Elephas maximus indicus: one gene and its partner. The protein of the gene in region 2 interacts with the protein of the main gene of each other region in a pairwise test. Links are inferred from orthologs where the notes say so. Each region holds a gene or a part of one and is shown on either strand. Other genes may lie near its edges. The genes, in order: DOC2A and UBASH3B.

The links.
Region 1: the proteins of UBASH3B (region 2) and DOC2A interact in binary tests that used the Homo sapiens proteins (3 or more experiments, as listed by UniProt). The link is inferred for Elephas maximus indicus from reciprocal best matches to the Homo sapiens genes UBASH3B and DOC2A.

What each region holds. Positions count from the first base shown.
Region 1 is NC_064830.1:89,198,510-89,202,413, reverse strand, and holds the start of DOC2A (double C2-like domain-containing protein alpha), read right to left. Parts: upstream 2,410-3,904; 5' UTR 2,272-2,409; coding exon 2,227-2,271; intron 1,967-2,226; coding exon 1,690-1,966; intron 1,296-1,689; coding exon 1,216-1,295; intron 1,030-1,215; coding exon 955-1,029; intron 828-954; coding exon 718-827; intron 1-717. UniProt on the Homo sapiens protein: Calcium sensor which most probably regulates fusion of vesicles with membranes. Binds calcium and phospholipids. May be involved in calcium dependent neurotransmitter release through the interaction with UNC13A.
Region 2 is NC_064835.1:15,667,451-15,671,354, forward strand, and holds the start of UBASH3B (ubiquitin-associated and SH3 domain-containing protein B), read left to right. Parts: upstream 1-753; 5' UTR 754-1,139; coding exon 1,140-1,267; intron 1,268-3,904. UniProt on the Homo sapiens protein: Interferes with CBL-mediated down-regulation and degradation of receptor-type tyrosine kinases. Promotes accumulation of activated target receptors, such as T-cell receptors and EGFR, on the cell surface.

The DNA of each region.
Region 1 (3,904 bases), on a different chromosome or scaffold from region 2:
ATCCTCTCTCGTCTGGAATCTGTGCCAACCTTTCTGGTGTCTGCCTCTGTCCTCCCTTCCAATCTACCTCCACGCCACATCGCCACCTCCATCACCACCAACACGATCGCTAAGACACAGCACTGACCATGCCCCTTCCCTGCTGCAAACCTCGCATGGCTCCTTATTGCCCAGATAGGGTGAACCAAGGGGTGAGGTCCCAGCCTACGCCTGCTGGGGTTCTGCCGCCTTCACTGGCCTGAGGAGATGCTCCCCACGGCTCTACCTCCTTGGGTGATGGAGGAAGCTCTCTGCCCCCGGAGACTTCACTCCTTAGAGATTTCAGGGGGCTGCAGGGAGCAGGATGGGCAGCTGCAGAGGTCTGCCTTAAGTCAGCGCTCTGAGAAGGGGTCTTCATGACCAGAGAGGAGACCGAGCTTGAGCTGACCCTCACATGATGCATGCAAGTTCAGCTGGCATGGAGGGGAGGGTGGCGCTTTCTAGGCAGAAGACACAAAGGTCAGGAGTAAGGCAACTGGCCGGTGGGAAGGGGGCAGCCCTGTGTCAGAGGAGCAGTAATTCCAGGGAAACCTTTTGGCCTGCTGCCAAAGGGAATAGGAGACATTGAATGTTCTCACGCAACAAAGAGGTAGGGGCTGAACGAGAGGTAGGGAGACGACCCACCAAAGAGGGTTACAGTGTCAACTGGCTTGGGAACAGGGAGGATGGAGCCCTCACCTGAGCACCTTGTGGGTGATGTCGTCGTCTGTGATCCCACGGTATGTCAGGTCCTCGTTCCACACGGGATTCAGTGTGTTCCTCTGAGTCTTGGTTTTGAGCTTATTGGCCTGGGTTGTGGAGACGAAGGGCTCTAAATCCCTGTTCCCAGATGGCCAGAGGCTGAAGGCAGGAGCTGCAGGGGTCTAGGACAGACCCAAAGGCTGGGCCATGCTGGAGGACGGAGGAGGCCCTTACCTTGCAGGCTCCAGGCAGTAGGTGCAGCTTGACATAGGGATCGGCCAGGCCATTAAAATCCATGGGCTTGAGGCCCTGGGGAGGAGGGGTGGAAAGAGGACTGTGGGTGTCAGCCCCTCCCTCCCTCTGCAGAGCTGGGTTCTTGAGGTGTGGACAGCCAGGAAGGGGGCGGGGAAGGAAAGGGTAGGGGTCACGACTGGGGAAGGGAAGGAAGGATGGAAACCCACCCTTGCTAGGGCTTGGGGAGCAGGGAGTGCCCACCTTGGCCCTGAGGATGCTACAGTGCAGCGTGCAGGAGGCCTGGTCGTAAAGAAGGTCAAACTCCAACATGCCTAAGGCAGCTGGAGAAGAGGGGAAAGATGTGAGTCAGTGTGTCAAGACAGGTGTGTGAGACGTACCAGGTGGGCAGGTGTGATGGCTGTGAAGGTATATTCATGTGTCTATCAGCCCAGGAGCATGTGTGCAAGAAAATGAGTGGGCATGTTTGTGTGTGTGTGTCTGTCCGTCTGGGTCCCTGCCTCGGCCACAACTAGGGCTGTGTGGGTGGCTGAGTGTCTCAGCAGAAATATTTAATATTGAGCCATGCTGAGACATTAATCTCCACACTGCCGCCGTGGAAGCAGTGGCCGCCGCCTCCCCACCGCCCTGCACATGCACCCCACAGGGCCCAATCCTCTCCCCACAAGCCTGGAGGCCCCCATTAGCACCCTGGGCTCTTTAAGCCCCCAAACTCACTCGTATCATCAGAGTCATAGCTGTCCACCTCAGCTCCATCCTCGGGAGTGGTAGCCCCAAGGAGGGCCACAGGGGGGGCCAGGGCCAGGGGGGCCAGACCAGCAGGGGCCTCCCGGAAGCCTCCACCACCCCCTTCGGGTCCTGGTCCCCGCCGGGGGAAGTAGTCTGAGATCTGGCGGATAGGCCGGATGGGCCCAGGGCACACATTGATGGCCATGTGCTCCTGGATGTTGATGGTCATGCGGTCACCCCTGCGGCCCCTCATGCAGCACCCCTGCTGGGGGAGTGGGAAGACAACATGAGCCCAGGGCTGATTCCTCATACCTGCCGTCTGCTGCTGAGGCAGCCCTGTCCACCTGGAGGGCCCTCACTGGCCTCCTTTCCTGGGTGTCCAGGGATAGGGTGGCCTCTGCCAGCTGGTGGGCAGGCAAGAGGCCTGGGCCCTCCAGATCTCAAGCCTTGCCCCACAGGGGCTGGGCTGCCACCCCACTAACCCCCAGAATAAATCCTGGTTCCACCTCAGTTTTGCTCACTTACTTCTAAATTGTCCCTTTGTCCATCTTCCCAGTTCCTGCCCCTCATTCTGGGCTTCTGTCTGGCCTGGGTCCTGCCCTCCCAATAAGCGGCCCCATAGGCCCCCTTCTCTCTCCTTGGAGGCTCCGTCCAGCCCTCTGCACCAGGCCCACCCCTCTCGACTCTCACGGCTCACTGTCTCTCCGTTCAACCCCAGGATGTGCCTGCCTGCCTGCCTGCCTGGTCGCTCCCTTCAGCCAAGGTGGGGACCCCTGCCTCAGATGCTTCCCCTTGAGCTTGGCTCCCCAGGAAGCCAGAAATCACAGCCGATAGAGAGCGGAACACCCCCGCAGACACACACAGGCTAACACACACACTCACCCTCACCCTCAAGCCCCCGCCAGCCCAGCCCCCTGCACCTGTCTCTGTGCGTCCAACAGGTGCCCGAGCACTGGGGAGGCCCGCGGGTGCAGGCTGGGCGGTGGCGGCCGGCGCTTTCCAGGGCGGCCAACGAGAAGAAGAGCGCGAGTCCGGCTGCGTGAGCCGAGAGGGAGGGAGACCAGAAGAAAGTGCGGGGAGGAGGGGGTGAGCGAGGTGGAGGGAGGATGCAGCAGGCGCAGGCGGCGGGGGGTGGGGAGGGACGGCCGGCGGCCGGGGAGGGGGCGGGCCTCTCCACCCCGCCTGGGCAGCCCGCCCGCCCGGGTACACTGAGGAGCGCACACGAGCGCACCACATTCATGAGCACGCAGGCTGGCACACACATGTGCACATGGGCCGGCACACACATCTTGCATGGACACTCCCGCGCACACACGCCTATGCCCACGTGCGCACGCTCAACACACATGCACAAACCCAGACACGCACTGGCACACTCACCCGGAGAACTTCGCAGACACACAGTCGCAAACACACGGGCTCCCTGCGCCACCAAGAACCAACAGTGAGAATTGCCTGGTGTTTCCCAACTCCTCCCAGGAGACCCCGGCCCTCGCGCTAAGCCCATCCTGCCTCCCTCCCTCGCTTCTTCCTTCCGTCGCTCGCGGGTCTCCCGGACCAGACCACCCGCCTAGTTGCCTTGGCGACGCCGGCTCCTCCCCCCCATCCCGTGCATTCTCACGCCCCTCCCCCGCAGAGAGAGCAAGGAGGAGGAAAGAGGGCCTCTGGGCCTCCCCCGCCCTATCCGTAGGGGCGGGGCTGTGGGCGGAGCTTGAAGATCCGCAGTGACTTGGGGTGCGCAGAGGAAGGGGGTCCGATCTACCTGCTGTCCCTGGCCTAGAACCTTTGCTCACACAGGCTTCTTTCCTTGAGGATACCTTCCCTTCTTTCAGAGGTCAGTCCGGGTCACCTCTTCCCAGGCGCTTTCCTGGAGTATCTGTCCCCTGCTCCTCATCTTCCGGTGCTATCTCAGACTCTGCTGACAGTTTTGTGGATCCTGTTTACATCTCTGTCTCCGCCACCAGCCAGAGAGCTCCACAGCGTGCAGAGGCTGATTCATTCATCTGAGTCCCCAGTGCCCCAAACGGCCTGGCACAGTCAACATCACTAAGTCTTTGTGCTTTAAAAGTTAGAGAAAAACCAAACTACACTGAGATGCCATTTGTCACCTATCAAATGGGCAAAAGTCAAGGTATCAGTTAACACGGTGTTGACAAGGGTGAGCATAAATGGGCACTCTCTAGTCCACTGACAGTGCAAAAAG
Region 2 (3,904 bases):
AGTCATCTTTACTGAGAAGTGGCAGGTCGGTCTTTCATAAGGTATTCACTGCCTCATGAAAATAGGCCCATTCCATCCTGAACACCTCTTGATGGAATGCCAGTGCCCTTTCTCTGTTCCTTCTAGTCCTCGCACCCCCTGGTGCCCCCACCCTCCTTCCACTTCCTCCCTCACCTCCCTCTTCCTCCTTTCCTCTTACCCTTCCTTTTCTCCTTTCCACCCCCTCTTCTCCCTGGTCCCCCCTCTCCCTTCTGGAACCTGAGATCCCACTCTTTCCACTGAAGTAACTGTCCCAAGTCGCTGACCATGTACAAGGTTTTCGGTCTAGTCACTGAACAGGCTGACCCGAACCCGGCCCCCAACAGGGTTTTTTTTTTTTTGCAAAATCTTTCAGAAGCAAAGCTTTTTATCATCAGGCCCTTATGGCTCGGCCTTCTGATCCACTAATGTCATCCTTCGGTCCGCTGGATTTCCATTATTAACCCCATCTAGAACCACATGAAACTTGAAACAAGTTATCTGCTGTTTTGAGGCCCAGCTGGGCTAAATGCAAGCCAAGAAAAGGGCTGGGGCTTGGCGGGGGGGGGGGGGGGGGGGGTGGCTCTCAGGCGCCCACGCCCCCAGAGCCTTCGCAGGTTGGGATCCCCCGCCTAGTCGGCCTCCGGGACTACAGCTCCAGCCCCGCCCGAGCCGCCACCGGCAGCGCGGCCGCTTTAAGAGAGGGGCGGGGCCCCGGCACAGGCAAGGCCGGGCCAGCCCACCCGGCTGCTTTTCCTTTTTGATCCATTCAAAAATTACTCATTGCAAATTCCCGGACTGCTCCGAGCAGAGAAGGAAGGGGGCGGAGGAGCGAAGGTTACTGCCGGCGCCGCGCGGGGGCACTGGGGCCGGAGCAGCTGCCAGCTGGTCCCGCAGAAGCAGCTCAGCGGCGGCTCTGGCTCCGGTGGCCTCACCAGGAAGCGGCAGCGCCTCGACACTGGGCTAGCCCGGAGCCGTCGCCGCCGCCACCACCAACACCCGCCCGGCTTTCGGTCTCCAAGCCCCCTACGGTCCTCACTCCCCACGCCCCGGCCCGGCGCCTCCCGGAGATGGCTGGCCGCTGAGCCTTGGCTCGGTACAGCAGCCCCAGCGCCCTCGGCATGGCCGCGCGAGAGGAACTGTACAGCAAAGTCACCCCCCGGCGGCACCGCCAGCAGCGCCCAGGCACCATCAAGCATGGATCGGCGCTGGACCTGCTCCTCTCCATGGGCTTCCCCAGAGCCCGCGCGTGAGTGACCGTGCGTCAGCCCCCGCGACCTTCGCGACTCGCCCGCCTGCCCCTCGGCTTCGCTCCGGCTCGCCTCCCCGCGCCTGCTGACAGGCGGCGCGCGTCCTGTGCCCACAACCTGTTGGGGGCAGGATGGGCGCGCCGGCTGCCTGGGACTCGGCTCCTCCGGGCGGGGCTCAAGGGGCAGACGCCGCGCGGGAGCTTGCCTTTGGATGCTTAAGTCTGTGGGGCCAGGGCACGTGGTTCCAGCCCCGGGTACCGTGCCCTGCGCCCTGCGCCCGGCTTCCGCGGGACAGGACTAAGCCGTTCTCCAGCGCGCTCCCTGAGGTCCCCGTCGCCGAGCCCCTGGGGAGGCGGGACCCGACAGAGGCATCCTTTCAATCCTGAACGTTTTGCTGGCAGGGGATCCTCTGGTGGCTGGGAAAGGACAAGGGACTGTGGGGCAAGGAGGCCGGCGCCCCTACTGCGGTGGCTTCCAGCTCCGGATGTCGCTCGCTGGTTCAGTTTCCCTCCGGAGTAGGAGGAGCGGGAGCGTGGGTGTTGCTGCGTGTTCATTGATTGGGAGGGTGGAATGAGAAGGAGAAGCGATTCCTCCAGGGGACATGGGTTCTCGTCAATGGTGACGGCAGCGCAGAAATCTGTGGGTGCCTGAGAGTAAGGAGGGGGAGCTGTCCTCTTTCATTTTTCTTTCCTTTGGAGGGTGGGGTAGGGCAGGGCAGAGATGGGGGCAGGTGGCTGTCCCTGCAGCCTGCTGGGCAGAGGCCTGGTTGCCAGCACAGGGAGCAGCCGCAGAATTCTTTCCCTGGTCAACTCCAGTCTGTGGGCTGGAAGCCTGCCTAAGAGCAAGCTACGGTCCCTTGGCCAGGCCATTCTCTCCCTGGTCCCTGTCTCTAAACAGCGTGCAGATTTCTTGGGTTTCTTAGGAAGGGACTTTAAAAACAAGACAAAACACGGCCACGGAGTCGATTCCAAGTCATAGTGAATCCCTAAGACAGGGTAGAACTGCCCCCATAGAGTTTCTGAGGCTGTAGCAACCCTATAAGACAGAGCAGAAATGCTCCATAGGGTTTCCAAGGCTATAAATCTCTTATGGAAGCAGACCACCACGTCTTTCTTCCACAGAGAGGCTGGTGGGTTTGAACGTCCAACCTTTCAGTTAGTAGCCAGGTTAGTAGCCAAGTGCTTTTAACCACTGGGCCACCAGGGCTCAGTGGGGATGTAGATGTCTGGAATCCTGTGGGGCTCTGCCTCTTTGAATTATATCACCTGAATGGGAGAGTTGGACATACTTTATCAGAAAGGGAAGGGCCAAGTTAATAAAAGTTGATTGATTGATTGATTGCTCTCTTCCCAGGGGATAATGCTGGATCTTTTTTCCTCTGCCCCTGAGCAAAGCTTGTTTACTCTTTTCTTTCCTATTTTGGCTCTTAATCACAGCAGACCCCTGAATGTGTCGTTCCATCCGGTCTACTGAGACAGGTTGGAACGGCCTTGGAAGGCCATGAGATGTAATGATTTCTGTCTCCTACTGACTTCTGAGTTCCAGGGCCAGATGCCAGAGTTCAAGGGGAAAGATGTGGAGGGCGCATCTGTTGTGCATCCTGCGAGTGAGGCCCTCCATGTGGATGATCCGATGTGCGAGCCCTTTAAGATCTGGCGCTCCGAGCGGGGAAGTCTGCTGAACGCAGAATTAGTGTGGTCCCAGGCATCTGCCTTTTCTGAAAAGAGGCCAGCGTCGAGGAACTAAATCACTTAATTAAGGGAAGGACTACTTAACTGAACTCCTCAGATATGTTGCTATTTAAACTAGCTTGAAGGGAACATCTGTATTCCTGCACTGGATTCTGGCACCTTGTACGTATCCTGGCAGATTACTATGATGGTCTAATTTTGGCTCCCCCAATCCTGGAGATCTCATAACAGCCAGCATTTACTGAGTATTTTGCTATATATTGTTCCGAACACTTGACCATTTTATCCTCCCAACAACCCAGTGAGGAAGGTACCATATGCCCATCTTATGAATGGAGAAACTGAGACTTAGAGATTACTTGATTTGCTCAAGGTCACAACAGTAAGCAGTGAAACTGGGATTCAAACCCTGGCAGTGTGTGTGCATAGCTCAGGCCCCAGAGCCAGGATGTAAATGAGTTAACGCTCATAACATGCTTAGAACAGTGCCTGACACATAATGGTCAATTTTTAAGTGTTAGCTACTGTATTAGTTTCCTGTGGCTGCTGTGACAAGTTACACCACACTGGGTGGCTTATAAAATTCAGAACCCAGAAATAAATTAAGAAATTTCTTCTCTCACAGTTTGGGAGTCTAGAAGTTCAAAATCAGTATTGCTGAGCCAAAATAAAAGTGTTAGCAGAGCTGTGCTCACTCCAAAGGCTTTAGGGGAGAATCTATTCATTGCCCCTTCTAGCTTCTGGAGGCTGCTGCCATTCCTTGACTTGGGGCTGCAACACTCCGGTCTCTGTCTCCATGGTTATATTGCCTTCTCTTCTGTCTATGTCAAATTTCCCTCTCTTATAAGGATACATGCGATTGCATTAATGGCCTACCTGGACAATCCAGAATAATCTCCCATCTCAAGATCCTTAACCACATCTGCAGAGTCCTCTTTTGACATA